Coturnix japonica: one gene and its partner. Each later gene encodes a partner of the first gene's protein in a complex. Links are inferred from orthologs where the notes say so. Each region holds a gene or a part of one and is shown in the gene's direction. Other genes may lie near its edges.

The links.
Region 2: the proteins of MYO6 (region 1) and TOM1 are in contact, whole or in part, in a crystal structure (PDB 6J56), measured with the Homo sapiens proteins. The link is inferred for Coturnix japonica from reciprocal best matches to the Homo sapiens genes MYO6 and TOM1. Residues at the interface, in NP_001355794.1 of Homo sapiens: Ile1182, Phe1184, Trp1202, Gln1214, Glu1216, His1218, Asp1220, Lys1221, Pro1222, Ile1224, Leu1226, Glu1234, Met1235, Cys1236, Leu1238, Glu1242, Thr1243, Gly1244, Leu1245, Arg1247; in NP_005479.1 of Homo sapiens: Ser440, Glu441, Phe443, Phe446, Leu447, Arg450, Ala451, Ala453, Ala454, Asp455, Leu457, Pro458, Asn459, Leu460, Ser461.

The regions. Positions count from the first base shown.
Region 1 is NC_029518.1:73,462,240-73,477,644, reverse strand, and holds the start of MYO6 (unconventional myosin-VI), read left to right. Parts: upstream 1-8,166; 5' UTR 8,167-8,237; exon of another isoform or gene 8,238-8,355; intron 8,356-15,405. UniProt on the Homo sapiens protein: Myosins are actin-based motor molecules with ATPase activity. Unconventional myosins serve in intracellular movements. Myosin 6 is a reverse-direction motor protein that moves towards the minus-end of actin filaments.
Region 2 is NC_029516.1:47,630,254-47,645,849, reverse strand, and holds the start of TOM1 (target of Myb protein 1), read left to right. Parts: upstream 1-7,424; 5' UTR 7,425-7,469; coding exon 7,470-7,521; intron 7,522-13,319; exon of another isoform or gene 13,320-13,339; coding exon 13,340-13,424; intron 13,425-14,987; coding exon 14,988-15,066; intron 15,067-15,210; coding exon 15,211-15,360; intron 15,361-15,479; coding exon 15,480-15,596. Other genes in the region: HMGXB4 (HMG domain-containing protein 4), read left to right, coding at 935-1,016, 1,850-1,914, 2,200-2,305, 2,768-2,937, 3,793-3,915, 5,502-5,546.

The DNA.
Region 1 (15,405 bases):
GGGACTGTGGGTGCATTGCACTCCTGTCTTGGAAGAACGTATTGTCTGATGTGCTTGGCAGAGGAGTTGAAAAATCAAACAAATTTTATCATGATGAGGAAACCACACGATTGATCTGTACACGTATATATGTATTTATTGATGTGCTGTGTGGTAAACTCCTAAAGTAGAACAGGAGGACTGGAAGCTTTTGCGTTTGATTCCTGTTAACATAGCTCCTCCGGAAACTTGAGTGACCTTCTCTGGTGAGCAAACAGCAGCAGCTCCCATAGTTTGTAGGTTCGCTATATTTTATTTCTCAGATATTTTTTTTTTCATTATTATTATTGTTTTCAAATGAAAACATTTCCAGTCATTGCTTAAAGCCTTGCCTTGTCATCCTTCAGCTCCACATACTCAGTACCCCTAGAGGACCTCTCTGCTGTGTGCTTGGATTCACAGAGGCTTGCAGCCCCCAAAGTCTTTCAACTCTTCTATTTCTGGCAGTCACAGCGGAAGGGCTGTTAGGAACTGTGACTTTGTAACAGTAACAATGAGATATCAGCCATTTTCCCCTTTGCCACCTTATCTTAAAACTAAATCATTTGTGCCTATCCCAGCTATGTGTGCTCAAAGAAAGATACGATGAAAGGCGTCTGTTCTGTCAGATCCAGTCTGGTGACCGAGGATGTAATCTGCAGGAGGAATGCTTTCTCTGTTGTGGTTTGTTGCGGTTTTCTGACAGGCGAGATTTTGCTTCGCTTCTGACAAGTCTGCATGCGGACTCATGCAGCCTTGTGGTTACAAAGGGAGACTCGGTAGCGTACACCATGCCTTCAGGATTCACTTCTGCGACTAGTTGCTAACGGTAACCTACATCCAAGCAGCCAAGATGTTTCTTTCTCCCCATCCCCCATTTGGGCTCTCAGCTGATGTTCCCCAGAGGAAAGTAAGCAGCACTTCTTGTGATAGGCGGTGCTTAAAGCAGATATGAACTGTGTTGCGTATGAAGCCAGGCTCTCTTGTTGCAAGCTGACCAAATACTTGCAAGGTTGAGAGGAGCCCTATTGGTGCAGCTGTGTATCTGTTCCCATGTGAGGAGAGAGCTGCCCTCCATTGGACTCATGGTCATGTTGTGTCCAGAGGCTACTGAGCCATTCAACACTTAGAATCTGACCTTTAACCCAGGGTTTAAACGGTGTTAAGACTTCCTCCGTAGCCTAAATTAGGGAAATTTATTACATATTGATACATCACCATCTCTCTTTAACCATATTTCTGAGTTCGGAAAATTGGTGTAGTTTTGCACCTGTACTGACATCACTGAAATGTACGTACTAAGTGTAACTACATATTACTAAATGTACTGATGGTGACATGCAGCAGCAGTTTGCAAACAAGCTTATAATCCCCACTCTCTTCAAACAGCCTTAAGTCAGACTCTGAGCATCAGAGTTTGTCCTTCCTAGCTCATATTTACATGCATGGAAATGGTGTAGTGGTAATCTTGATAGAAACATCAGTGTATGTCGGGTGAAAAACAGTATTAATCATAGGAGTTCTTGGGAATTAATTAGTTGGATTTTAAAGGGTGAAATTGCTGTTTGTGAGAAAGGCTGAAAGGGAGCAGGATACTTGTTTTAGTTCTGGAGAAGTTCATGTTCTATCACTTGGCTCCTGCAAGTGTATTTCATAGTGTGCAATAGGAGAATACCGTGTGGAGCGTGGGTTCTGCAGTACAGGAAAGTGAGATAAGCTGACCCCATAAAATTGACATTAGAACCACGCTGAGTTTCTAGCAGAAAATGAAAGCATGTGAAACATAATTCGTGCTAGGAATGCAAGCAAACAGAGTATGTTTCTTATTTAAATGTTATTTGGTTCTGAAAGCTGAACTGATTGGTAAACAATCCTGTAATAATATCTGTCAGTGTTACAAAAGGGCAATAAAAGGCCGTGAGAAGTTGTTCAGCTCCATCCCATCCTACAAGGCCACTGAAATTTCTGGGCTTCAAACAGAATTGGTGCTGGCTTCTGCTGCTGCAGGTAACATTCAGGTTCCAAAATGTCTGAATTGATTTGTTGTGTGCGTTTGTACAGACAGCGGCCAGTGATGGTGTTTAATCAGAAAGAGATCTGTTCTTTCTTTCCCCCCCTCCCCCCCCCTGCTCCCCACTAGACACCCTTACATTTTAGTAAGGAGATTCTTTTTTTCCTTATCACAGCTTCCCATGGGAGAACAGGAATTACTCGGCTCTTGGTTGCCTTTACCATGAAATTTTGAGCTCCCTGAACACTCGACTGCATCCACTGAGAGAGGCGCTATCTGGAGAAAACATTACTTGTATGCAGAAATTTCCATACGATCACCAGTGGGACAAATTAAGGCTCCTTGTACGATTTCATTGTTTAATATTACCCAAATTTGAGTATTCATGTTTGTAAGCATCTTTATTGTGTATTTTGTATATGAGTTTTTCTGACTTTCATCATCGTGGTGATGGTCCCTAGGAGGACCTGGGCTTGTTCTGCCTAGAGAAGGCTGCAGGGTGACCTCATTGCAGCCTTCCAGTACCTAAAGAGAGCCTACAAATAGGAGGGAAAACAACTCTTTACAAGGGTAGACAACAGCAGGACAAGGGGAATTGGTTTTAAGTTTAATGAGGGAAGATTTATGTTGGATATCAAGGGGAAGTTCTTTGCTATGAGAGTGGTGAAGTGCTGGAACAGGCTGCCCAGGGAGGTTGTGGATGGAGGTGTTCAAGACCAGGTTGGATGGGGCCCTGGGCAGCCTGGTCTAGTATTACATGTGGCAGGGAGGCTGGAGCTTCCTGATCCCTGAGGTCCCTTCCAGACCAATCCATTCTATGACTAACTCCACAGTACTACTTTTTGCATCTCCATCAACAGCTGTAGTGTGCTGCCATTTTCTTGCTCCCCTTGACGAAGACACGATGCACACATCCCAACAACTTTCCGATTTGGTTACAGAAAGCAGAGGAACACTGGTGTGCATCGGTCAGTGCTCTTCCAGAGAGAACTTGTTCTGGATGTTACAGATTTTGTCCACTTGTCCCTTCCTTCCAAACCCCAGGGGGCTGCCTTTCTGCTCTGCTTTCTCTCCTGGTCTCTCATGGAAGAAACTACATCTGATAATCTTTTACCATATCTTGAAGCCCAGTTCTTCAGCCTATACTTTAGGAAAATAACCACTGATACCATCTTCCAATGTTCCAAGTAGCCTTGACAGCAGAGAAGGTAACGAAATACAGGTTGGATGAGCAGACAGCAGCAAAATTGAGAACTGGCTGTTGGTTGGGGCCTGGAGGCGAGTGATCAGTGGAACAAAGCCAGGTTGGAGTGCAGAGTGCACCAGGGTCACTACTGGGTCTGGTCTCGTTGAACATCTTCATTAAAGATCTGGCTGATGGAGTAGTGTTCCCTCGGCAAACATGCGGGGGCTACTCTACTAAACTGGGAGGAGTGGTTGATATGCCTGAGGGTTGTGGTTCTGTCCAAGGGGACTTGGAGAGGCTAGAAACACCTGAAGGGAGGGTGGAAAGAGGACAAAGCCAGGCTTATGGCAGCGGTTACAGCACCCTGAATCCATGTGATTTTGCTGCTTCTGAAGAAACAACAACATGCTTACTAGTACATGCATTGAATGTACACACTTCAGATGTTGTTCTGCATCTGTTTCGTATCCGTGGATTCTTAAGGAATCCATGAGGACCAATGTGGGGTTGAAGTGCTAGTGTGTGGTTGTGAAACGCAACTCAATGGCTGTTCAGCAGTAGGTGATCACTCAGCAAGATTGAGGTGACCTCACTAGTGTGTGGATGTTAAGGGTGTGAGGAGGCAGTTTAAGCACACCCAGGGTTTTGATGGCATTTGAGTGCGTGTGTAACTGTGCTGTAAAGGAATACAGGGAGGTGCTGAAGCAACGGGCTGCATCAGCTTTTCTTTTGGTGAGGTGTTATTCTTACTTCATGAAGCACCCCAACTGCAAAGAACAAGGCAAGGTTTGTTCAGATATAAAGGATGGAATCTGCATCCTTAAGAATGGCCTGCAGTTATTTCATTGACCATAGCTGGGCACCACTGAAAAGTGAATCCTTGTGAGTGATCACAATGTAGATGTGGAAAAAAACAATACTAATAAAAAGCTAAAATTGGAAAACATTTATGATAATTGCTAATGTGTGGCTTTTACGGTGTTCTTATTCCTACATTATGGATGCTTCCATGTCTCCAGATGAAATATGTGAGACAGTGAGTCCCGTGCTACTTTTATAGCCTTGGGAACAGGCCTCTGGTCTCTTTGCTAGAGGAGATTTTGCCAAAACAAAAGCAAATACTTCCCCTTTGGACATGGACGTGTTGCATTAAGACTGGAATCCACGCCTCCTGAAATACTGGGAGGGCTCCAAGAATATCTTCCCACTACTCTGGGATACTGCAATCTTATTTTCTTGCCCTCACCATCTGGGTTTATACAATGAATCTGCTCATGCAAGTCAAATGAAAAGCAATGGACATCAGCAACAAGCGGCCCAGAGAGGCAGTGGAGCCTCCTTCTCTAGAGATGTTCAAAACTCACCTGGGCGCTTTCCTGTGTGATCTACTGTTGGAACACTTTTCTAGCAGAAGGTTAGACCAGATGACCTCCAGCAGCCCCTTCCATCCCCTATGACTGTGTGTTTTTGCGTGGTTCAGTGACCTGACAAGTTAGGGATTCCTCTTATGTAGTCTCATTGCTATTACTTATGCAAGCCTATCCTGTGTTCCTTTGCTTCGAGCTACTCACAGTGAGGAACAATTTCTTTGGTTAATTTAATTACCCTTTAAGTTGAGGAAACAAAAATATGGGGCTGGTTTGGAAGACTTATTCCCAACCGAGAGCTTCAGAAACTGGTTGTACATTGCAAGGAGTGAAAATGCAAAACAATCAACCTTCCTTGAGTAACACATTTCTGATAACGTGAGAGAAAAAACTGTTAGGAACTGAAATGAAGCATTTCAAATAGAAGCTGTTGCCTTAAGCTGTAATATCTGATTTATTTGCAACCAGAATGGAGTGGCTGGAATACAAAAGGCCTGTGGAAAAGTCAGGCTATTGAAATACCCCGCTGTAGTCACGAGGGTTGTTCGTGCAAAGTCTACTGGGAAGAAAGAGGAGGGGGAAAAAAAAGATCTTTGCTCAGCTGTCAAAATCGAGAGATTTGTGTATACACATGTAATGCTAAGGGAAACTGAGTGGATAACAGAAGGTTTACACACCAATTTCCAGTAAATAATTCACATGATATGGGACCAAATGCCTCTTATCTAAAGAAAACTTCCTGGGAAAGAAAGCAGAGCTTGATTTTGAAAGGAGAGACCTCCTGGAATTGGGAAGTGTAAATCCCAGAAAATGTTCTTTCTTAAACTGTCTCTCAACATCAGCTGCTAAACCTCCATCCAGTTAGAGGTGTTCATTTGCAAGTATCTGAGCAAGCTATTCTTTATCCAGATAAATTACAGATAAATTCTGCTGGCGGGACTAAGTTGGCAGCTACATTAAGAAACTCCTCTTAGGTAAATCCGAAATACACCGGAAAGCAATGAGGTGATGACTTCCATTCCATGTGTTTAGGGTTTGTTTTCTTCAGAAATCAATTGCAAAATTATAGAATGATTCTAGGGAGTATCAAGGCATTAAACTGAGACACAGGCAGGCAGGAAATGCCAACAGCTGACACTGACAGGCTGCGAGGCATTTCAGCATGACCACGTTACACAGCCACGCTATAATAACATTTCATTCATATACATTTAGCGTATGTCAACAAAGCTCTGTAAGGTAAATGAACTCCTGGCCTCATTAAGTTGTTGGCTGTGACTTAAGTCAGTGCCCATAGACATTTCTGCAGGCAGAATTCTACTCACTATGTGCAATGTGTTAAACTGTTGAAGCTACATATGACCCACAACAAGACCCAGCTAATTACAGCACAGTTTAAGCACAAGCTTTTCTGTCTAAAGTGGCACCTACAGCAAAGGGCTGTAGTCAGTGTCAGACTTGGTTTTTGTGTTTAATCTTCCATGATAAAGCCTGGAGAGAGAAACTTAACGCCACCCTGTTCCTGAAGTTCCAAAAAGCCTCATCTTGTCATTTCTATCTCAACCTTCCTACAATGGACAACTGAAGCTCTTCCGGCCCGCCTCCTTACCCTGACAACATAGGAACACTGAAATACATTGTACCCACTTTCTCTTTCATCTTCTTTTCCCTTTGCTGAGGTCCAGTTCCTGTGCTCACATTTCACTGGTGTGTGAATCTTCCTCTCTTTTCCCAGGAGAACTACAGAACAGATGCTGCTGTGTCCTGGGATATTTTTAGGTTTCCCAGGGAGAAGGAAGGGAAAGCAGCAATGCCTCCTCCTCATCAGGGAGGGGCAGCCAGGCCGTGGGACAGCCCCTGGCTGCAGCCTTCCAGGTCACAAACAATCACAGGCCTGTTGGCACCAACAATATTTAGTTGGCCATTTCCTTTCTCAAAACTGTTGAACATTCTTCAGCCATGTCAGATAAATAAGCCACGGTCAAATTTAACTTACCACTTGCAGGTGTGTTTAAAAGCCCTGCAAGCTCCTGGTATATGCTGTGAGTGGCAGGAATGTTAATCTGGACATGGGATTTACACCCACCCACACTTTGCCTGAGCTGCAGGATTACTTGTGTGCTGAGTCCTCCAGTGCCACTTTCACACGCACATCCCTGCTGGTCTGACAGAGCCCTTCCCTAGGAGGCTGGTGAGGCCCTGGCAAGGTGAAGGAAACCAGGAGGGTCTTTGAGGAAAACAATGGTTTGGGTTTGCTCCATTAGCAAAATGCACAGGGCTTTCAGGGTCTGCAGGGGAATGATGTGAAGTCAGGACAACGGTGCCACTTGTGAAACACTGCACAGAGAGAAGTGAAGTGTTTATGGCCAGCTGGCCAACAAGCAGGTGGTGCCAGGCGTGCCCATAAAACCCAGGGTGGGGGAGGTGACACAGAGCTCACATGTGGGTGCTTAAGAAGGGGTGGCTATACGTGTCCTGGGCTGCATGACACACGTCACAGGTATGATGCAGTGCTGCCCATCTCTGTTGTGAACACAAACAGTGGAGCGTGGGTGACAAGATAAGTGGTCTCATTTATAGTGAGATCCAGGACACGAGCCTAACCAGGTAATGCAAATGGCAAGAAGGGCATGGCTGGTTACAGACTGAAGTGTGTTTGTTGACACTTGCAGGGCTCATTAGATATAGTATGAGGTGTTTTGAGTGTCCCTTGCCTTTGAGGGTAGAGTGGGCACTCAGCACCAGACAGGACAGGGTGAAGACTGATCCCACTCAAGGGATGCAGAGGTTGGGGGACACTCGGTACATATGCTGCACAGCCGTGGCCCTTGCCCTGCCATGTCGTGAGCTGAAGTGTGTCTGTGGGTTCCCAGAAAATAGCAGTGATGGCAGTGAGCACAGCAGGGTGCACACAAGGGGAGCTCCTGTGGAAGGAACAGAGCGATCTCCAGTTTTGAAGGTTTCCCACAGCAGAATAGAAACCATCTGTGTTATACCCTTCTGTCTTGTAGCCCCCCTTAAGATGCTGAAAGGTCGCCCTCAGGTCTCCCTGGAGCCTTCTCCTCTCCAGGCTGCACAGCCCCAGCTTCTCAGCCTGTCCTCCTCATAAGGAGGTGCTCCATCCCTTGGATCACTGTGGCCCTCCTCTGGCCGCGCTTCAACAGGTCCGTGTCTCTGTTGTACTGAGGGCTCCTCAAAAAAAGACAGACGAAAAAAGCATGAAACATCACTCCTAGCAAACACAACGGGAACCCCCATCGAACAGCAGCTATTGGGGCAGGCCCAGGAGCCCCCAGCACATCCCTCCCGCACGGCAGCGCCGCCTCCAGCCGTGAGGGCTCGGTGTTGTCCGCAGGTGAGGCGGCCCCACGCAGGTGAGCGGCCCAGGGGAGCGGGGCGGCTTCGACCCTCGGCGTCCTGCGGCCTCGTAGGCCATTGACCTCTGCTGTGGCTGCGGAGCAGGCCGGCAGCCGGGCACGGCTTCCCATCCACCTCCTCCTCCTCCTCCTCCTCCCCCGCCGCCGAGCTCCCGCCCCCGGCCGGCCCCTGTGGCGCTGACGTGCGGGCGGGTGGCCGGGCCGGACCAGGCTGCGGGGGGCGGCGCAGAGCGGCGCGGCGGTGGCAGCGGGGAGCGGAGCGGCGGCCACAGCAGCAGGTAACGCCGCGGAGCCGGGGCCGTGCTGCAGGCCGGGATCCACTGCCCTGCTCGGCGGCGGGTGGAGGCGGCGGAGGGGCCTCTCCTCGCCGGAGCGTCCCGGGCGGCCACGGGGCAGGTGCGGGCGGCTCCCGCGGGGCCCGGCAGCGGGGCTTCGGGTGGGGGTGTGTGCGAGAGGGGCTGGCGGAGTTTTGCGGCAGCAAAGGTGGGCAGAGCGCGGAGCGGGAGTTGGCGGAGCCGGGAGTGGCCGGGCGAGGCCGCCGTGCGGTACCGGGAGCCGGGCACGGCCTGTCCCGGGGAATGCGCGGAGGTGCCGGCAGCCCCGCGGGGGGCGGCGGCTCGGGCGGTTCCCCGGCTCGGCCGAGCGGAGCCGGAGTCTGACGGGCGCCTTCCTGAGCGCTCCCCGTAGGAGGAATTCATCCCAGAGCTGCCTTATCAGGTGCTGCTGGGGCTAAAGTGCTTTCTCCTTACTTCCTTAACTGAAAAGTTATTAAACATCCCTCCTCCCTCCCGCCGCCGTCCTAAGTGTAGCTCTGTATAATGCCGTGCATTCCAGCTAACGCTGAGTTTTATCCACACTCCCTTCAAAAGCAATTCTGTGCTCCTGGGATTGTCCCCGTAAAGGAAAGAAACTCTTTGCGGTCTTGTCTGGACAAAACTGGGCATGGTGTGAACTGCAGTGAAGTGCATCTCCTCTCTTCTGCCCGAGTGCTGTGGCAGGCTGCCTATGGAAAGCAGTGTGTGCCTATGGCTGATACGCTACAGAAACCCATCTCTGACTTCTTCTATTTACATCTGTTACTAAATAGGAAGAATTAAAAGTGTCTTCTTTGTTAGCTGTCACTTGAAGACGGCTCACAGTGTTACTGTAGGTACTGCTGATGCTTGCCTGATACTGGGCAATCACATTCCTGGCTAATAAATCCTGATGCTACCAGATACCTATAAAATTGAAATACCTGAATTAAAAGCTTATAGATTACAAGAATGCGTGGTTGTTACCTATTATTTCATTTAAACATTGCTGCTTGTCAGCCCTTTTCTACAGCATGTCATGCCTCCAGCCTTGGTATCCCACTGTATTCCTGAAGGAAATCAAGCCATGGAGCCATCCCGTAGCTTGCTGGCACTGCAGGCTCAGCATGGCCTATGGACTGGGTGAGCAGGTGCTGGGGGACAAAGGTTGGCCACTGTGTTCAACCTTCCTTTATTCCAAGTGTGGCATATTAACCAAGGGCAGGGATGGACTCCTGAGTTAACATTAACCTGCAGCCTTTCTTCTGCTGTCTTCTCAAGACAAAATACAATGCTAGGGTAAAGGCTGAGGGACAATAGAAGCGATTAAATGATAAAACTTGTGGAAATGTATAAGCATAAGCAAATGCCACCTTATGATGCTTGCTCAAGTGCCATAAAGCTGTACTAATGTGCAGGTTAGATTTGAAGTATATGTTTTATAAAGTAACTGCAAGGAATAAAAGTGTAAGAGTTTATTGCTGGGGTGGGATGGTAAACATCAGAATTGTTGGAGCACTGGTTAGTAAATACAACATAGGAGAGGTTTCAAAAGTAGAAGTTAGGATTTAGTTTGCCTATATTTTTAGTGGCTGTGCTTTTAATTTGTGTAAGTTACTAAATGATTCTGTGGCAATACAGTTGTGTCCCTCTGAAGCTATAAAGCCCGCAGAGTGAATGTAAAGGTAGAGAAGTTTGCTGCAAGGCTCACTGACATCATGAAGTAAGAAGCGCTTCAGTAGTAGCTTGTAGAAACTGCAAATTGAGCTTGTTTCCCTCACCTTGTATTTCTAGTTGGGTGGGTGTCTGAGTGTAACCTGTCCTGAACTCTGAGTCTGGGATTGCTACCTGCTGGTATTTGATGGACACAGTAACCATAATGATCCTGTGGATGTGCCATCGGTGTTTGGACACAGTAACCATAAAGGTCCCATAAGGAAAGTCAACTCCTGGCTCCCCACGCCTGTTCTGCAAAGGCAGCCTTGTGACTCCCTCTAACCTTCATGCTCTCTTGGTGTTTAATAATGCTGATCTGAGAAAGACCTTGAAATGTTTTGGCAGAGGAATTACAGTGTATGGTGATGTGAGCGATGTGGCCAAGGTGAGAAGGGAATAATTCTTTACTGTCGCTTTCAGTACGAAATGCCAAAGCAGGAGATTAAGCTGGCAGGTTCAAAGCAAACAAAAGGGTGTTTTTTACTTACCCAATGTGTAGCTACTTAAGCTTTGGAAATCCTTTCTGAAGCATGTGGATACCGAAAGCTCAAAGGGACAAAAAAAGCAACCGGATGAATTCATGGAAGAAAACTCCCCTGAGGCCCATCCTGTAAAGCTGCTGTGGCTCAGGGGTTGGCCACAGGTGGAGCTGGGATGGGATGCAGGCACAGCACTGTCATGTGTTTACCAAGCTTTTGTATTCATTCTAGGTGTGCAGGGCTGCGTGCAGTGCTACAGGCAGCAGCCAGGAGCAGCAGATCTGCTCTTTGACCCAGAACAGGTGATTTGGGGGAAATTATTTTTCATATGAAGAATTTGTTAGCAGCTGAACCTGAGGGACCGTGTCTGGATATATTAAGTGTGGTGACTGATCTCAAGGAGCTGTTATGTGTTGCCATTGTCAAATGGAAACAAGTAGCTCAAGCAGTACTATAGGGCAGTTCTGGCACCTGTGGATCTGATGTCTGTCTTGTGTACTGGGTTAGCACAGAATTTGAAGGAGTCAGAGGAGGCTTTCTGAGCCTTGGTTTTGATGCTGCCTTTTGGAGGATGGGGGTTTCTGATATATTTAGTGGCTGTGCTCAAGTATAAAATGCTGTGTTTAGAGGAAAGAGTTCCCATCACATAGATTGGCAGCAGTGCTGTGGGGATTAGTCTGCAGAGGATTGTAGGAAAAGACAGGATGCAGTAATGTGAAAGTTTGTTAACATTTGGCATGAAGTCCAAGCTAATAGAGTAATGTGTGCAGGTTTTTTTTGCTGCCCTTTAGGAAAGATAAATGCGAGCTATGCTCTGGCAATGGTCATCAAGGCTCAAGAAGGGTTTGGAAAGCGTGATCTGTAAAGGGCAGATGTATTTGCAAATCACAGCCTACAAAGGGCAAGCAAACTATGTTTGATGGAGGGATGTTGAGACCAGGGGACAAAACGATACTGTCTTAAATGTGGTGAGACTTTGTTCTTCTGACGGTAAGTTCCAAAAAAAGAGGAAGCCAGTTCGTACTGAGGGTTTGATTTAGTACCAGTGGTTGTGCTTTGGGAAATCACAGAATTGTAGGGGTTGGAAGGGACCTCTAGAGATCATCGAGTCCAACCCCCTGCCAAAGCAGGTTCCCTACACCACGTCACACAGGTCGGCGTCCAGGTGGGTCTTGAATATCTCCAGAGAAGGAGACTCTACCACCTCCCTGGGCAGCCTGTTCCAGTGCTCTGTCACCCTCACTGTAAAGAAGTTCTGCACATTCATGTGGAACTTTCTATGCTGTAGTTTCATCCCATTACCCCTAGTCCCATCCCCACACACACTGTACTAAAATATTGCAACAAGCGGAGGTTGTGGAATCTGGTGCTTGAAAAAGTTATTGGGAGAAGGATGGAGCCTCTATGAGGAACACTCTGACTGCTTCTTGTGCAGGGGTTTGAGCCTGATGAGTTCTTCGCTTCTTGAGGCAGATTATTACAGCGTGTGTTCAACAACAAAGTGCTCTGGTTTAGGAGTACAGCCTGTAATCCTGCAGGAAATGTAGTTCTGCAACCACACGGTGATTTAAACTGGAGAAGTCAGAGGGATAATAACTAAGTTATTTGTCACCAGCTGCAGCATATACTGTATGTTACTGTGTCCAGTATATTTAGATTTGTTTGGAATGGCTGTGTTACATTTGTGGTAAATAGTGGGGACTGAGACTTAAAGATGTATTTCTGATCAGCGCCAATACTGCAAATAACACATGAAGTAAATGAATGTGTTGAGTTGATATCTACAGATGAGGTCTCAACTTCCCTGTTGCTGAATAGCATACAAAAATGGGGCAGACCACAGTGGAGCTAGTTCAGGCTGGTGCTGCTATTGCTGTGTGTGTCATAGGTCAAGATGGAAGCCTGCTGTCACCCGTGGGTATGGAAGGTGGTTTGGGAGCCCCTGAATCATTTTTTCCCAGTGAATGAGTGTAATGTGAGCAAGCTGCAGCCAGGCTGTGCATGCCCAACAGTCCTAATGTGGATCTCAGCTCCTATAGGCATGTTCAAGCTGTGCAGGCCACATCACAGCTAGTGCTATAACATGGTACGGACAAACCATAGGTTGGAATGGGGCGGTGTTTAGAGGGTTGCCAGGGCAGTATGTTCAAGTGTGAGGGCCCAGTCTGCTCTTAAGAACAACAGCAAGAAAATTCCCAGTCATCAGCTGGACATCTGAGTGTACCCCAGATTCGTAAGTAATCCTACAAAAAGCCTTTTAACATCGAATGAAACAAAACTTCTCTTTGCTTTTTGGAGCAATGCAATGCGTTTGCTGAGTTGATTTTGTGCGAGACGTTAGTTATATTTTCATTAAATACATTTTCATAGTGGGTAGACTTTTACCATCTTGAATGAATTTGCTTCTTTGTAACTGGCACGACTTAGTCTGACCTGAAATTTGGGGGAGAAAAAACAGAAGTAGAGAGTGTGACAATTCAGTGCTTGATGATCATCTCTCTCACGTCAGCTTCACGCGTGGTTGGAGTGACAGCAGCAACTTCCTTAGCTAAACTGGAACTGTTCTTATGGATTCTTCTGAGAATCCTCGTTATCACTTGGCAAAGCTTTGGTCACGCCAGGTTTGTTCCTAATTGCCCAGAAAACCGACTGAGAGGCAACGCTGGAATGACCGCATTGCTACAGAATTGGTCATGGAAGGGCTGCGGCCTGCTCAGGTGCCAGGCCAGGCCGGGCCGTGGCTGGGCAGCGGTGTGGGGGCACACTGTTCTTTGAGCTCCCATCTGAAACATTTCCACATTTATTCCAGTGCACCACATTGCAGCCACTCTCCAGGAGAGGTGGTAGTGATGAGAATCTTCTAGAAAATGTTTGGAGGTGAAGAGGGGCTGCTTTGCTGCATCTTCCATTTCCTCAGCAGGCATCTGCCTGTTGGTACACTGAGGAAGGGGCACTGAAGTGTTCTGCAAAGGGAACGTTCCGTAGCTGGTCTGAGAGGTCAGGGCTTCATGTATGCATTAACCTCGTCTGGTGTAGACACCAGAGCTTACACACTGCATTTTCCAGGACAAAGATCAAAGCATTAGGGGAATGAAAAGGCTAACAAATATTTTAATGACTTCAATTCTAATGATTGTCTAGGGCTGTAATGCTGTGCATAGCTGGGCAGATGTAATTGCTTGCATTTCCCCCAGCAGCTTGGGTGCTTGTGCACCTGTCTTTGCAGACTGCAGGGGGTAACAGAAAGTCCCCCTCTACATCTCCCTGCTGCAGGGGACACAGTGAGTGCCAGAGCTAAGAGAGTGGGGCAGTGGGAGCAGCACAGCGGCACAAATGCAGGGAGGAGGAGGAGAGGTTACCGCTTCAGCTGACCCCACCTCATGAAACTACAGCATTTTTGCAGTCCTCTAAACCCATGTAACCCTTTGCCTAATTTTTAAGTTGTTATTTTTATAGTGTTTTCTGATCGCTTGGATCATTTCTGATCATTTCCCCAGCTCATCTTCAGCAGGTGTTCAGGCCGTGAATGGCATTCTGTGTTGTGGCGCATGGAGTGTTACTTGTGTGGGTGCTGCAGAGTGATGCTGTTTCTCCAACACTTACTCACTGCCTTCCCTTTTGATGAGCAATCTGCCAGGCCCATTTTCTCCTCCTCTTTTAATTTTTCTTTCCTAAAAATAGACCTACCAGCTGTGTATTCATTTGTGGGCATACACGTGTGTGTTGCGTCATTGCTTTATTTTCCTTATTTGCTCTTAGCTGCAAACAAGCTATTTCATTGAGGCTTTAATGTTTTTACAAGTGTCAATAACTGATCTTCTTGTAGTTATGGCATTAAAGTTGTTTTAAATTTCTCAGCTCCCAGAAGACAGGATAGAAATGGGCTCATTTATCATAGCTTCATTAAAACAGAATTGTTAGGAACAAAGCATTTAAATTTGGGTTGGAACTACATGATCCTTGAGGTCCCTTCCAAGCCGGGTCATTCTGTGATTCTGTGTTTCTGTAAATGTGAGTATATAGAAAGATAGTAGTTCCAGAGGTGATGTAGTGATGTTGGTCTTTAAAGAGCAATCCAATTAGAGCTCTCCTGTGTCTTCACAAACATTGTAAATCAGTCACTGTCAGGCACACAATCTCAGATTATATGGACTTTGAGCAAGTGTTTGGTTCACTGTACCAGTGTCATTAATTATTTAACTTTTTTTCAGCTGTTTGCTGACTTGTTATGGGCATCTGAAAAGTAGTGTAACATCTCAGTATTTTTTCAGTCATTTACACAAGTCAGAATTCTAAACTTCACTTGGGGAAAGGATGTTTTTTCATATACGTTTCCCATCATGTTCTGATTGTAATCTGAAACAAATTTTACCTGCTGTTCTATGCTTGATTTTGAAGTTCTGCATCTTTTCAAGGAAAAAGAATTAACACAACTAACCTAGGGAGAGAAATCCTGAACATGTTTTTTCTTAGTGTGCTATCATGCCGTACAATTCATGTCTTACTCAAAAGGTCAACACCCACAGAATGTGATTTTTGCAGTGCAGTCATCTAAATAGATGCTCTTCTTCGGGCTGTAACATTCTTTTCCCGTGGTAAATAAATAGTCTTGAAATGAAATGGCATCTGATGAGTCGGAGATTTCTGTGCTGTGTGCTGATTACATGTGGATATGTTCACCAACAAAGCAGTGATGAAAAATATAGAACATATTTTGATCATATACCATTTCAATTTAAATCCTCACCACTTTTCCCATTTTTTAAATGCATGTACTTATTCTTAAAATACTGTATTGAATTTCTTTTAAATTGGAACCGATGCTTTTATTTTCTTTTATGGGTGTGGGAAACCAGCTTCTTTTATTATATTATAAGGAGTTGTGCATCTGTTTGGGTTGTCATCATTTAATCGGTGGTTTTAAGAGACTGAGCTGATTCCTAGACTTGTTTTTTAAA
Region 2 (15,596 bases), on another chromosome or scaffold:
TTTTTAGCAGAGGGAATATTAATCATAGTTTGTTTCTTTGTTTTGTGACACAGGCAGTCTTTAGCCAGTATAGCTCCTTTGAAAATGTTCTATTTGATATACTTGGTACAGATTATGCCACCACTGCATCATTCGCTAAGGTTGCTGGCTCTAACTATTACCAGTAGAATTCTGGGCTGTTCTGGCTGTCTTGTAGTCCATCATGTCAGTTCCTGTAGGAAGGAACTGAGTTGTAAGCTGAAAGACTGAAGTTATTTATCCATTTATTGGAGCACGTCTAAGATTTCCAGTCCAGACTAATTTTCAGTGTATTTATATATAGGGAAAGGAAAGGTTTTGTACATCCGCATAGACAGTGTTGCTTTGTGTAGCCCAAATTTACTCAGCTATTCTGCTTTATGTGTAAAGTTTTTTTTGATCAGAGCTTGACAATTCCTTATGCATCTGTTATCAGTGTACTTGTACAAACTGTTTTCCTGAAAACATAAAGTGATTTGTAAGAATCGTTTGTAAAGTACAAAACACGAACACTGAAACAGAAAAAAAGCTGATCTGCTTTGACAGATCCTTGTTGGAACTGTGAATAGTAGACAGTTGTGAGGTTTTTTTCAATTTTAAATTTGAAAACTGAGGTATGTTTACAGAGTTATTTGTTGCTCCTGGATTTAGAATCGCAAAACTTTTGACTTAGGAATGAAATGCATCAGTAGTTGTTGCAGAATAAGTCTTACATTAAAACTGGTTCTGTCCAGTTCATATTGCTTTCAAAACTGCTGAATTTGGCCAGAACATGTAAAACATGGCTATTTTATCTTCCTTATCTAATCACCATGTCTTTTTTTAAGTTTCTGATAAATGTCAAATTATTAAAGAAATTGAGTACATCTCTATATAATTAAAAATCTTTGTTTCCTTTTTTTTTCTTCTTTTCTAGCCAAAGAAGAAAAACATGTCTGCCTATCAAGTGTTCTGTAAGGAATATCGAACAAACATTGTGTCTGAGCACCCTGGGATAGGTGAGAGAAAACATAGCTTCTCTTCTCTTCTCTTTCTCTTCTCTTCTCTTCTCTTCTCTTCTCTTCTCTTCTCTTCTCTTCTCTTCTCTTCTTCTTCTCTTCTCTTCTCTTCTCTTCTCTTCTCTTCTCTTCTCTTCTCTTTCTCTTCTCTTTCTCTTCTCTTCTCCTTCTTTCTCCCTCTCCCTATTCTCCTTCTCCCTCTCTCTCCCTCTCCCTCTCCCTCTCCTCTCCTCTTCCCTCTCCCCCTCTCCCTCCCCTCCCCCTCCCCCTTCCTGTCCCTGTCCCTCTCCCTCCCCCCTCTCCCTCTCTCTTCCTCTTCCTCTTCCTCTTCCTCTTCCTCTCCTCTCCTTCTCCTCTCTCCTCTCCTCTCCTCTCCTCTCCTCTCCTCTCCTCTCCTCTCCTCTGATTATACATCAGTCTAATTAATTAGCAGGACATACCTTCTCCTTCATACCAACCTCTGATTTTTTGAGGTAGGAGGGACAGAAATTGATTTTATGATTTGATTCATTGCATTTTAACCAAGCTGTGAATCTGGATGAAGAAATTACCTACTCTTCCTTTCGTTACTTAAAGAGTTGTTTTCTTTGTGTTATTTTCCTGCATACGCATGTGTGATCTTGTATTCCCAGTGTCATTGACAGTAAGGAAATGCACAGTGGAAATCATTTTTAGACAGTGTGGAATGTTCCATGTGTAAAAGGCACTGCTTTCTAAACGTGTGTGCATTGGCCAGTTTTTCACAGTGTTGAAATTCACATAAAATCCCTGTGTCCTCACTGTGGTTTTATTCTTTAATCTATTTTGAGCCTGTCTATTTTTCCTCCGAACAGATTTTGGAGACCTTAGTAAAAAGCTGGCAGAAGTGTGGAAGCAGCTACCTGACAAGGATAAACTGGTAAGTGCGTGTCAGATGTTTCTGCAAAATGATTTTTGTTAACTAGGTGCTTAGGTCAGAACACAACAGCATTATTGCCACAATACCTTAAAGAAATGTTACCTCTGTCCACAAACTGTGGGAAAATTGAATATTTTGCCTGTGTGGTCATAAAAGCATCTATTTACTTCTCATGGCATTGCTTCACAACTTGGCTACGTAACATTATTCTGCCCCAAGGTCTTGGCATTAGGTGAAATAATTATCTAACATTATGAATTTGTTTTTATACCATGGTAACTGCAGATCTGGAAACAGAAAGCTCAGTACCTGCAACACAAGCAAAATAAAGCAGAGGCCACTACTGTGAAGAGAAAGGCATCATCTTCAGATGGGGCTCCAAAAATAAAAGGTAATTGCCATGCTTTATTTGCTCTACTTGTTGGATTTATTTTGGAGTGGGGAAGGTGGTGTCTTTACGCTTAACTTATATCACTCAAAGGCAATGTTTCTTGAAGAGCAAGAATGATATCAGCACTTTTCAAAAAGTCTAGTTAGTAGAATGGTATTGGCTTTAGCAATTCAGGAATTGAAACATGAAGCAAGAATCAGGGAAGTTCTAGTGGGAATATCTTTCTGCAATATGAAAAAGGGTTGTTGTTGGTTTGGCATCTCCATTTACCAAATCTCCCAAACCTATCAAGTTACAGCCAGCTGAGGTACTTGCTTTGCACAACACTGAAGTCAGGCTCTGTTCTCCAAAGGTCCACATAACTATTTAAGCATCTAATAACTTTGATATTTGATATGCAGAAAGTAAATAGGCTTCTAGGTCAAAGTAGATAATACAGAATTTTAATTCCTGTGTTTCCAGCTTCTCCACCAGGAGCGATTTCCCCTCATAAGAAATCTCCCACTAGCACTGTGGTGTTGCCCTCCTCACCAGGCAAAGCCCCTGAGACGGAGCCTATAGATGTAGCTGCACACTTACAGTTGCTGGGTGAATCTCTGAGCCTCATTGGACACAGACTGCAGGAAACAGAGGTGAGTTTGTCCCCAGCAGTCTCAGTGATGTCATGCAATCACACATAGGACTGGGGGGATCATTTTTGTCTCAAGCCTTTAGGTAAAAAAGAGCATCAGAGAAGGCCTTTACCAAGATGTTTTAGCATGTACTGTTGTTTTCTTGTAGTATCATGCTCTCAGTGCTTTAGTTAGCCATGACTATGATTTCAACTTACATACTAATGTAGGAGATGTCATATTTTCCAGTGGTTTCTTAATGTTAGATGATAATAATTGTCTGCATACATGTGTGCACACACACACTCACAGGTTTAGAACTCAGCACAGCTTAGAAACAGAGGACATATTTGGGTAAAATAACAAATACCAGCAAATTTTATGGCTAACAAAGTCATCTCACTGTGCTTTTTTGTTTTAGCGGCAATAAAATAAACGTTACTGCATTTTGTTTCTGGTATGACCTCATTGAGGTTATTCTTCAAAAGAACAAATGGAGTAGAAATCAATCCCTTTACAGAATGGCACATTCCCTCTTTTGGAAATATATTGATATCTAAAGCATTTTTACAGACTTACCATTTCTTTAGGCTCCAATAATAAAACATTATTGCATCTAGTTAATATAGTAGAAGGTATGGAATGGCAAGAAAATTACATGGCATAAACTGGGGAATTAAATTGTATACAAAGCTGACAACTTTCTAGCATTTTCTGCTGTGAAGTGCTTGGCATAGTTTTGTTGCTGTGTAAATAAAGTGGACAAGGGGAGCTCAGTAGTGAGGATACTGTGTGTGAATGAGAATCAATATAGTTGTGAAGGATCCATAATTTCTGCTACTTGTCCCTATCTGGTTTTTCTTTCCTTACTTCCAGGGAATGGTGGCTGTTTCAGGAAGTTTGTCAGTACTTTTGGATTCTATCCTCTGTGCTTTGGGGCCATTGGCATGTCTGACTACTCAACTACCTGAGTTGAACGGCTGCCCTAAGCATGTTTTGGTAAGCTTCTTGTGGTTATTTCCATTCTAGCCCTGTTGATTTCAGTAGAGACCAGCTAAAGTTTTTGGATGAGTCAGTCCTAGAATGCAATTAGAATTGTTAAAATTAAAGTGGAAAATAGTTTGTTTTAAGGAACTGGGTAGCTTCAGGTTCTTTTCCATGTTAAATTACAGCTGCAAGTGAGCCCTGATTTAGCAACAGCTTGTGACCTCACTGTAGCACAATGTGGACATAGCTTAAGACAGAAGCACCATGAACTGAAACAGAAGTTGTACCTCCAGCAGGAGGCATGAATTAGTGATAAAGTAGAGCAAAAACGAAAAACATATTTGTAGTCTCCAAAAGCTGAGAGACTGAAATAGTATCTGGGATCTGGACAAAAGAATAACAAAATGGGGCGTGGATTAGGGTTTTCTAAAAAGGACGACCCAATTAATGATTCATTTTGAGAAACTGTTAGCAAGAACAAATGTGAGAGCTTAGGCTGTGAGCTCCTACAAACTGGCTGTCCATACAGAAGCTGAGTCAACGGGGTGTACCCATCATAAGCCATGGAAAAACATCCAATTCTTTTCTCCCTGCTAGCCAAGTTAATTCAGAACGTTACACCCCTTTTCCACGTGACTAATGGCTCACGTCTTGGAAACTTGATCATTTTATTGTTATAAAAGAGCAGTGATGCTGCAGGTGGATTAAGGCACTGACCTGTCACTTCTGAGAGCTGATGTTCAAACTCGATAAGAAAGACATTATTCTGACTTTTACAGTCAGGTACCTAAAGATAGGGGTATCTTAAGAGAAGTAAAATTCTCAGTGGAGGTGTTGCACATAGGATGCAGTTTATCCTTTCAGTCAGTAGGTGGCATTGTTGAATTTTAGAATCACCCTTTTACAGCTCGAGTTCTTAAGGCCTTCAGCCGCCTAACCATAGATCTGAGGATACTGAAATACTACATTTGAAGAACATACAGACAATATAGTGATTGGTGTTGTTTTCTGATGTGTAAAAAAAGGACTCCGTCTCAGAATTCTATTAAATTTGTAGGGAAAACTGGAGGGACATTTCTTTTTCCCTTCTGACACCCTACTAGTAGGTGTTTCTTTCTCTTATACACTGCAGAATGTCTTAAAGGACTTGTGAGTATAATGCCAGGGATTTGGGGTGTTGTTTTTTGTTTTGTTTATTTGTTTTCTGTGGTTGTTTTTTCACATTATACAACTTCTATCACTCAGAGTACTTCACTGCATCTTCCATGTGGTTGATGTGATGTAGCCAGTGTGGTTGGTTCATCTTGAAAGGTAGAAGAGCGTAAGGTTCATTAGGAAGAAGTCACTCGAGGAAAGCCTCAAGTTTGTTTCCAAGTGCTTCCAAGTACTAGGGCTACCTTTGTGCTTAGTTCTAAGTTTCCAAATATGTGACAATAAGCCAGTGATAAGGTGGTGGTAGGTAGTCGTGACTTATCACTTTGGTTGTCTCTTGGTATGGTAACTTGTAAGACAAATGAATGTGCTGAATACCCCCTTCTGTGTCATTTTGGGGGATTTTGAGTCACTGTTGGACGTTAACATCTTGGTTTTTTTCCCAGTCAAACACACTAGACAACATCGCTTACATCATGCCTGGACTTTGATGGAAAAGGAGCCTGGGATTTACTCAACTTCAGCCTAACTGACCTGTGTACATGTGCGTTACACCGGCGCTCCATATGGGCTCCACATGTAGTGTTTTTAAAGTTTCATAAATGTATATTATATGCATAGGATTGTATTTTATGAAAAGTTGTGAAGCTGAGAGAGCTACATTTCTCTTGGTGGATAAAATGCGATCCAATATGGAAGTATTTGTAAAAAGAATTCAGAAAGATTTTGAGATACAAGCCTTAAATACAGATCCTTTAATGGGGGAAGCAGCCAGAGAAGGGACTTTTGGATATAAGGAAAAACATGTAACCGTTGGAGCAGTCATTGAAACAGGAAGCCCATAGAGGCTGTTGAATTTTCATCCTTGAGGATGGAGCCTTCTCTGGCTTAACTTACATTATACACAGGGGGTTAGATGGTTCGGTTAGACCCTTTAAGAGTATTCTGTGAGCCAGTAGTGATGGTATTTTGGACCCATTTCTGTTTTTGAGTTTAAAATCTGCTTGAGGGGGCAGCTGAGCAAGGATACAGAGGGCTTTGCCTCTTGATCACATCTTCTAAGCCCCTTCTTCAGTCAGTCAATAGCTGAAAGTTGCCAGTGTCAGCTCACCGGTCTGGTAGCTGCCATTTGAAATGAAATTGAAGATGACAACTTCATCTTTTCTTGTGGACGTGCACCCGAGTCATCCCTAGTGTTGATGTATCAACAGACTTAATTGATTTCAGAGAATGAACTTCCTGCTGATTTTTCCAGGGTGTGGTCAGCCTGCTTTGATGGAGAGCTATAGCAACTGGGAAAACAATTGGATCGTTTCTGCCCATCTTACACTGGCTTTATGAACAGCCAGCCTTGATTTCTGAGTCTGCTGACCCCCATCTCTTTCACCAGCAGTGCTGAAAGAGCCACAGTGCTGCTGTGGGATGGTGGCTGATGGCCAGTTAGAAGCAGTTACAGCTTGACCAGGGCACGTGTGTGTTGTCAGGACTGGTCAGGACAGGACTGGACTTATTTCCTGCCATGTACTCAGTGTTTGACTTTCCGCTCCTCTAGAAGAGCCGTAGGAAAGCACTTGATTTTTCTTATAGGCTTTTGTGCACCTGTATGTATGTTGATGTGGTGTTCATATGATATGTATTTAACTTCTACCAATATATCTCTAACAGATTTTAATTTATCCTGTATATGACTATGTACATAGATAGATATATATATACATAATTTAAAAGCAGAGCTCTCTCCCTCCACAAGCAGCGGGATCAGGTTCACCTCACCGCAGAGGAATCAGCAGCGTGCAGCACTACGCATCGGCATCACGTGGGGAAGGGTGTGAGCATCTGCAGCAACAGACTGGCTTGAGAAGCTGAGTTTTCCTCCAGCACCTCCAGCCTCTCAGCCGGGTGCTCTGACTCTCATTTCTGTGTTCTTGGCCTGATCCCCACCCCAGGCTGACACGTGTTAATGACCATTGTGCGAAGGGACAGAGAGGGATCCTCTCCAGCTTTGTTTCCTCTGCAGTGCAAACCTGCTGGAGAGCGACAAACGCCCCCAACGCCACTGTATTGTATTTGTATTTAAAATTTGTACACTTTGTATCATCTGTTACTTGTAGTATTTGCTACTAGAGGGAAAACTTTGGCAAGACTTGGCAGTTTTTCTATCTTTGTTATTTCCTTGCCGTTTGATCCAAACGCCGTTACAATACGAGCCTTTTTTGTACCGTCCTTACAATACACTTTCTTTTTTTTAACGCCTGTTGCTGTCATTCATTAGCGCCGTACCAACTTGCCGAGCTGCCCTCAGCCCCGCGGTGTTGCCGGGCGGCGGCCGCTGTCGTCACGGCGGGGCCCGCCCCGGCCCGGCCCGGCGCGCGGTCACGTGAACGGCGGCGGCACAGTCAGCTGATCGCGGCGCGATGGAGTTTCTGCTGGGGAACCCGTTCAGCACCCCGGTGGGGCAGAGCCTCGGTGAGTCCCTCGCCCTCCCGCGGCCCCCGCGCCCGTCCCCGTTCCTTCTCCCCTCCGCGCCCCCCGAGGTACCGGCCTCCGTGCCCGGCCGGCCGCCCGCAGGACCCTTCGCCTGCGAGACGCGGCGGGTCCCGCCCTCGCGGTGGGACACGGAGGGCGGCGGCCAGTGAGAGGGGAGCTCCGCTGTGACTGACGGGCGCCTTCGACCAATAGAGAACACGCAGCCCGAGGCAGCGCCGCCGGCGGCCCCGCCAGCCAATCCGCGCGCGTTGGGGTCTCGAGGTGGCGAGGCGAAGTTTCGTCTCTTAAAGGGGCCGAGGAGCGGCGGCCCGAGCCACGCCCCCTGGCGGCGCTGAGCTCCGTGATTGGCTCGGCGCCATTCCCGCCACAACTCGGGGGGCTTCGCGGGAGGAGCGGGTGCCCACCCTGCGGGGGCTGCTGATTGGCTGAGCTCCAGCCACAGCGGCCTATTAGCGCTCTGGGCGGGAAGGCGCCTTGTACTACCTGAGGAGGCGGAGCCAGCGGGGGCAATGAGCGCAGAGCTGGGGCTGACAGGGTGGGGGCTCGGGCTGGCCTACACCGAGGTGGCGTGTCTAGTGGGACCCGCACCCGGCAGCACCCAACACGTGGCTGCCTGGCATGGACTTCCCTGCGCAGTGGAATGGGAGCCTTGCCGGCTCTGCCCTGCACCACAGGCCTGATCACAGGATAGAGCCCCAGCTCCAGCAGTGGGAGCAGTGTGGCAGCCACTTGGTGACCCTTTAGGTTCGCAGATGTTGTTTTAGTCGCTGTGCTCAAAACGGGTTGCTGAGCACAGAACAAAGTAGCCCAAGAAAGTGGAGCAAAGAGAAAGAATAAGGCCATGAGCAGCTATGCTGGTCTCAAAGCAGAGATGCAGTTCTTAACGTAATTAGAATAAAGATTCTTTTCTCCTGTTGTACCATCTAAATGCCTTCAGGTTGTGCTTGAAGAAATGAGGCTGGTGTTTCCTGCTTGATGTCTCCATCTTGTGCAATTTGGCCATTTCTTGTTTGTGTGAGATGCAACTACAGCAAGCTGGGGGAAGGTTGACTTTAACCTTCCCAACCAAGGGCAGGTTTTCAATAAAGAACAGCTCTGCCTGATATGTGATGCCTCCCCAGGTGGCAGTCACGTGTTTCATTGTGTTTCCCAGGAGATGCTGTCACCTGCTCTTTGTGATTATTCTAGGAGGGTATCAGATACATTGATGTGTCTGGGTCCAGGCAAACCGAAGTCATCTGTAGGTGTTACAGCGTACTTCATGCTCTCTGGGTCTTCTGAACAGTTTATCTGAGCAGCCAGATATAAGTGGTTTCCTTGCTGGGCTTTACTTCTCTTAAAGAAGGGATTTTCAAGCAACAAACAAACAACAAAGAAGAGGAAGAAAGTGTTTCAAGAGTGTTGTCAGACAGGAGCTTAGAGCCCATAGTACTACAACATAGCAGAAAAATCTTAAGGATTGGCCTTGAGTGCGGTTATTGGAGTCCAAAGGGGTGGAGGATTTGCAGTGTGTGAGAAAGGGACTGAGGGGTGGAGGATTTAAAAAGGGCTGACAGATGTAAATACAAATGTTTTCTCCTTCTGAACATTGCCTAACGACATCCCGGGGACACAGATAAATGCTATCTTTCCTTTTTGATTTGAGATGCGAACGAGACTTACCTGAAGTTGTTTGGTAGGTCCGTGGTAGCTGCATAGTGAGCCCATGAACCTGATCACCAAACCTGCACGGTGCCTCCGCTTCGGGCTATCTGCAGAAAGCTGATATTGCATCTTTGCAAATTACATGGGCTGAGTGATGTACGCCTGATACGTCTTATAAAGCATAAAAGCTTTAGATGAAGGGTACGGGATGAAAAGGAAGTACTCTGATGCACAATGATGTTCTCAAATTCCTTCATTAATGTTAATCTAGCAAGTCCCACTTGTTTTTGCTGAGAAGGAAACACACACTCGATAATCTCAGTGATTTCTTACAAAAAAAAAAGTTGCAGAGGAGTAGGTTTACACCTTTTTATTCCCCATCCTGAGATTTCATCACAGAATATCCCTTTGTCCTGGTTTTGGGCTGTGATCTCTTTTCCTTAATAAGACGAATACAGCCTTTAAAAAAATGAAGTACTTCTAACCAAAGGAGACATTTCTGAATAGTGCTAAAGCATTGTAGCTTGGACTCTACCAATGAAAGGGCAATTCACTTGGCCTCTGCCTAGGAGCTAAAGGAAACATCAGAGTGGGAAACCTACTTTCAAGGAGATGCTCTGATAGTAACAAGGCAGAGTGAAAGAATAGAGAGGAAATCAACAGTGCTCTTTCCTGAACCCTGAAGTCTGGAATAGCTCGTAATTATGGCAGTACTGAAAGGGAAAGAAAGATTATTTCATTGAATGAGGACAGAAGGTGAGGGAGAGAAGTAAAGATATAATGCAGAGATGGAGAGGAGTTTTTTTTATGTTTGGGATATGGGTTAAGCGTGATAACCAAGAAAAGTTGAGGCTGGTGAGAGGGAGCAAGTAAGAGAGAGCAGATTGCCTTGGCTCATGGTTGAGGGAGAGCTGCAGATAAAATAGAATGTGCCTCACAGCTATTTAAATCCCTAACCCTCTGCAAGTTGGACTTTAGGAGCTGCTGGGAAGCAGATATCGTCTGCTGTTAATAGCATTCCCCTTTCCTGACGGGTTCATGCAAGGCAACGCTTCTCAGCAAGTTACAATCTTGTCTTCTGTGCTGTGAAAGATTTGAAGAGCTCTCTGATCCCTGAGATTTTGAGCTGAGGAAGGAACAGCTGGATAAGTTCAGAGATGCAGATACCCAAAGCATTGTGGCAGATCAAGCAGATGTCCATCACCATTCTTGAATTAGGATTGGAGATACATGTCAGGAGAGCAAGCTGTCCCCTCCATCACAGCAAGGAAGAAGCAAGAATCTAGGAAGGAAACAAAGCCATGAAATTCCCACCAGTCACAATGCAAGGTACTACTGCAGTGTATCAGTTCAAAATAATTTCTTATCTTACAGTACCAGATGCATTAATAGCTTACAGTCATCAAAAGTGTGTCAGGTGCCAGAAAGGAAGATTCAGTGCTTTGTTTTGACTCATGTTACAGCACTCTGTGATTCTGGGTTGAGGTGGGCAATTTGCAAGGAAGCAAACCAGTATCAGGCAAACCTCAGTGCTGTCACACCCAGGAAGCTGGTCTGGCCACTGAAACAACACAGCTTTGAAGTGGCCCCACAGAGGGCCTCTCTCGTGCTGTATGGTCTTGGTATCAGGCTTTGAAGAAAGCAGCATTTATACACCAGCTGATAACCTCCCTATGAGGCATGCCCTGTGTCAGGCCAGGATCAGCTCCCAGCAAATAGAATCAAAAGCTGCCTGATAAGCCCTGCCAAGCAGTGCTGAGCAGGCAGCCAGGCCCTGCCTCCTGTCCTCACTGTTTTTAGAGACTTGTCGGCATCTCAGGCTCAGATTTTATAAAGGGTAGACAGCTCATGCGCTAATTACAGCTCATGAAACCGGGCCAGCCGCTCTGATCCCTCACGTGGCTAATGAATATACTTTGTTTCCTTTCTTTCTGCAAGCTTCAGTAAAAGGGTAAAGTTCAGGATTTTCAGAGAACATTCAACATATCTTATTAGTCTTGGGCAGTCCCTCAGTACTCGGGAGCGAGGATTTAGAAGGCATTAGCTTCAACCCTCCTAGGGCCAGTGAGGCTGGGCCTTAATCTTAGCAGGCAGATTCAAAGCTGTTGCCCTCCTTTTTTCCTTATGCCCTAATTCTGCTATTCCAGCTGCACATTTTCTAACTTCACATTGTATTTACGGCAGGTTTGCTGCTTTCCTGCAGCTTTTCACCCATCAGCCTCAGAAAGGAGGTTGACTATGACAGGATCACTGCTCCGCTGTGGGGTGACTGCAGGCTGTGTTATGTCACCTCTGAGGAATCCCCACGTTCCATACCGGCCAGCCAGGTGAAGGAGTGCGCATGGTTTGTTTGCATTCCTTTCTGGAAAGCAAACCCGCTTCCCAACTTTGACAGGGTGAGCACATCTGGAAGAAAAGGGGACAAGAAAGCAGGTTGAAGAGTGGTGACAAGCACAGGGAAGCAAGAGAGTAGGTAGAGTGGGTAGGCTGGGACTTAAACCAAGGTGTGTCCTGAGCAGGAGGTAACCCTCAGCATGGAGGGGAGCAGCAGTGAAGTGTGGCTTCATGACCAAGTGCACCAAATCCATCAAGTCAGCCTGAACTGCAGTCTAAGAATGTTCTGCAGTCAAAGAATGGCCACTCTGCCATTCTTTGCCCTCTTCCATCAAGTTGTGGCCACAATGTAATCAACCTAATCACAATGTAATCAGTAGGTTTTGCAGCTAGCAGAAAAGGTGGCAGCTGGATTTTGGTAAGATTCGGGCAGGTAGTTTCATGCTGTGGTGTGTAACCTGTGGGAGGGACATGTACAAGGGAGGGTGTATTGCATAGTGCTGTGAATAGCTCTCTGACTGATCCTTAAAACAGGGCATCTGAAAACATGATGGATGTGCTTACCCAGGCAGGAGTCAGAAAACTTTTTCCAATGTTGTGGCCCCTATCTCATTACCACTTGCATGAGCAAGCATTTCATTTTAGTCCCACAGAGGGATCGTTAGCTATTTGGGTTGCAGAGGAGGCTCCCTCTGAAGGGCAGAGGACCCACAACAGCAAGGGCCAGCTCCAGATTATGCGGTGACAGCAGCTCTGAAAATGCAGGCACTCCTCTAAGTACGTATTTAAGTAAGCTGGTCCCTGTAAGGAAGCTGGGTCCCAGTTCTTCTGGAGAGCACCTGATAGGTGCTGAACTGGTCTGGCTAGTTTTATTTGCCTCGCTCCACTACTAAATCAGGCATCTTATAGGATGGGAAAGCTTGGAAAGAAGGTTCTCTTGCACTGTTTGCTATCTGCTGTATCTCTGCATTTCCCCGTGGTCTAGAGAGTGTCTGGTTCTGCCTACCCACTGGCAGTTGTTTCCCCCACTCACTGGTGGTGACCCTAAAGGCATCACTCAGCCAGTGTGGTTGGGGTGAGACGCAGCTGATTACAGGGTGGAGGCACTGTTGATCTCACTAATAGTTGCGTGTTGCCCAAATCTCTGCCTTGAATAACATCAAGGCTGACTGAGGAATTCCTAATTAAAGGGGACACAATAAAAGCTGGAACATGACTTCAGCCCGCAGTCCTTGTCTGTCGATACTCCCCAGAGGCCAGAAATTCAGGCAAGAGATGCAAATTTTAAACAAGCCTTCCTGTTTTTTTTTTTTTTGTGTTTTGTTTGTTTATTTGTTTTTATAGGACTTGTAAAAATCTTGGGGCTAATTCATTCCCTTAAGTTGATGCAAATAAAAGCAATGCCAATGACATTAGATCCATGTCAGCATGAGCAGGCCAAACTCATGGTTTCCTTTGCTGGCCCTGCAACAACAAAGCAAATAATCCCCCCTTTCTTCAGTTGTGCAGCTGAAGTCATTTGCTCTCCACTGAGGCCATCTCCCTTTGCGTGTAGGACACCAGAGATCATTCAGTGTGTGTGTGTGAGTTTGTAGCATGCGTGATGTGGGCAAAGCTGCGCAACTGCCCATCCCGACAACAGCCAGCAATGTGCTTTGTGGTGGTGACACCTAGTGGGAAGCACTTGGTGGCTCAGACTTTGCAGCTTGATTCATGTTGTTAAATGTTATGACAAAATCCAGGGTCACAGCTGAAGAGCAGCCCATGAAAGTGCCAAGACTTCTCTTAGCTCTGTGCTGTTTTGGTTTCTTTTTTCCAGAGAGAGCTACTGATGGATCCTTGCGGGGTGAGGACTGGTCTCTCAACATGGAGATCTGTGACATTATTAATGAGACTGAAGAAGGGTAAGAGGGCTGGCAAAGGTTCTCATCCAGCAGCAGGTCCCGGCGCACTTCCTGTAACACTACATCCCTACACTACAGTGGTAACATACAGTGTTGGAGGTAATAAGCTGGGCGTCCCAGTAGTCCCCTAGATGAAACTGCTGGGACATCTAGAGACAGAGAAGAGCTTTCAGAGCATCTGTTAGATGTTTCCTTGTGATCTTCATGAGCACAAGGAGCCATTCAAACAGGCCTTCAGCATCCCTTGAGAAATCTTGATTCAAGCCAGGCTGCCTCCCATGTCCCAGAGACACATTTGCAATTCTTTTGCTTTGATTTATTCCTTTTCCTTATCCCACTCTTTCCACTGGGAATGTAAAATTCTTCAGGCCAATGACTGAGGAGAGAAGAAAATCTCAGGCGAGTCCTGCTGGGGTTATGTTCTCAGTTATTTTCATATACAGTCACTCTGACATGCACAAATGTGGGCATTCCCCCCTGAGAAGGGATGTTAGAAATCTGCCAAACATGTTAACTCTGGAGCTGGGGATTTGCCAGTGAATCCTAGGGGGTCTGCTCTATCTCACAGTGGAGACGTCAAGAACAGCATGTAAAAAGGAAGGTGATACATGGAATGAAAAATGTAGATTTCACTCCTGCTGTCCCACCACACAGGGAGGCTGATAGATAGCAAGCTCAGTTTGAAACTTCACAGTTGTACGGAAACAAAGTCAAACATCTTTTCTTACAGATCTGTCACCCCTAATTTTCCAGCCCTGCTCTCCCCATGGTACAAATATGCCTGTCTTTGCCAACAGTTCTCCGTCCCAAGCTGTTACCACTTTGTGTTTCATTTCTGGGCTGTTGCTAACACAGCTGTCTCTCCAGTTCTCCTGCTGATGCCCATCCATTGCAGCTTTACTACCCCATGGGCCCCCAGATGCTTCCTCATTACCTTGGTGCCTCCATCCCACTCTTGTCTTCCAGCACTGCTGCTCTTCCAGCCCAGCCTCTCTTCCCCTGCTCTACTGGAGTATGTTAGTCCTTTTGTGTCCTCTCACAAGACCACAGTGACCCTGCTATGCTGCCATTTATGCAAGATTCACTGCATCTCCCAAACTTCTTTTTAGCCTCATTTCCTCCAGGGAAAGGTTTAACAGTTTCTTTCTAAACTTGACAAGGATTGCTTCTTCTCCGTCTCTCTTTCTTATTTCTACCCTTTGCCAAGCTTTTTGTGATCTTGTCTGCATTGTCGCTGCCATGGGATTTTGCTTTACCCCAAACAGTACATTTCTGGTGTTGCTATTACTCTCTGTTTTGTCTGTACACCTTGGATTGTTGCAAACATCAGCACAGAAGCCTCCAGTTTCAGCACCAACACTCAGCAGCAGGACCTAGCACCTCCTACAGAACTACAGGCAAAAACTGCTTTATCAGTCATTGCTTCAAGATGCACTGAAAATGTGATGGGGAAGATCACCTATTGAGTGCATGACTCTGGATGTCAGTGGCTGTTTTGCTTTGCTTCTTCCTAGGTGAGTCTCACCCTTCTGATGATCTTTCTCCATTTGCTTTTTCCTGTAGGCCCAAAGATGCCTTCCGAGCCATCAAGAAGAGAATTGTAGGGAATAAGAATTTCCACGAAGTTATGCTGGCTTTGACGGTGAGTGGTCACAATTCTTTCTTAGCTCTGTGATTCTTGCTGTGAAGCTGAGTCCCCAGGTGCAAAAACATGGGCACCAAAAGACAACAAGCCTAATTCCTGCAGGCAGAGAAGACTGTAGCTAATGCTTCTTTGCCTTCAAAGGTCTTGGAGACATGTGTCAAAAACTGTGGCCATCGCTTCCATATCCTTGTAGCCAGCCAGGACTTTGTAGAAAGCGTCCTGGTGAGAACAATCCTGCCGAAGAATAACCCACCTGCCATAGTACACGACAAGGTGCTGACCCTCATCCAGGTGAGCCAAAGAGTGAGCATCTGCACCAGAGGAGGGACCATTTGTCCTGTGGTATTTGTATATCAGTGTAGTATAAATTATGTAAATGATGATGTGAATGGTTATCTCCTTCTCCCTAGTCCTGGGCGGATGCTTTCCGCAGCTCACCGGACTTAACTGGTGTTGTTGCTGTCTATGAAGACCTTAGACGGAAAGGCCTTGAGTTTCCCATGACTGATCTGGACATGCTGTCACCC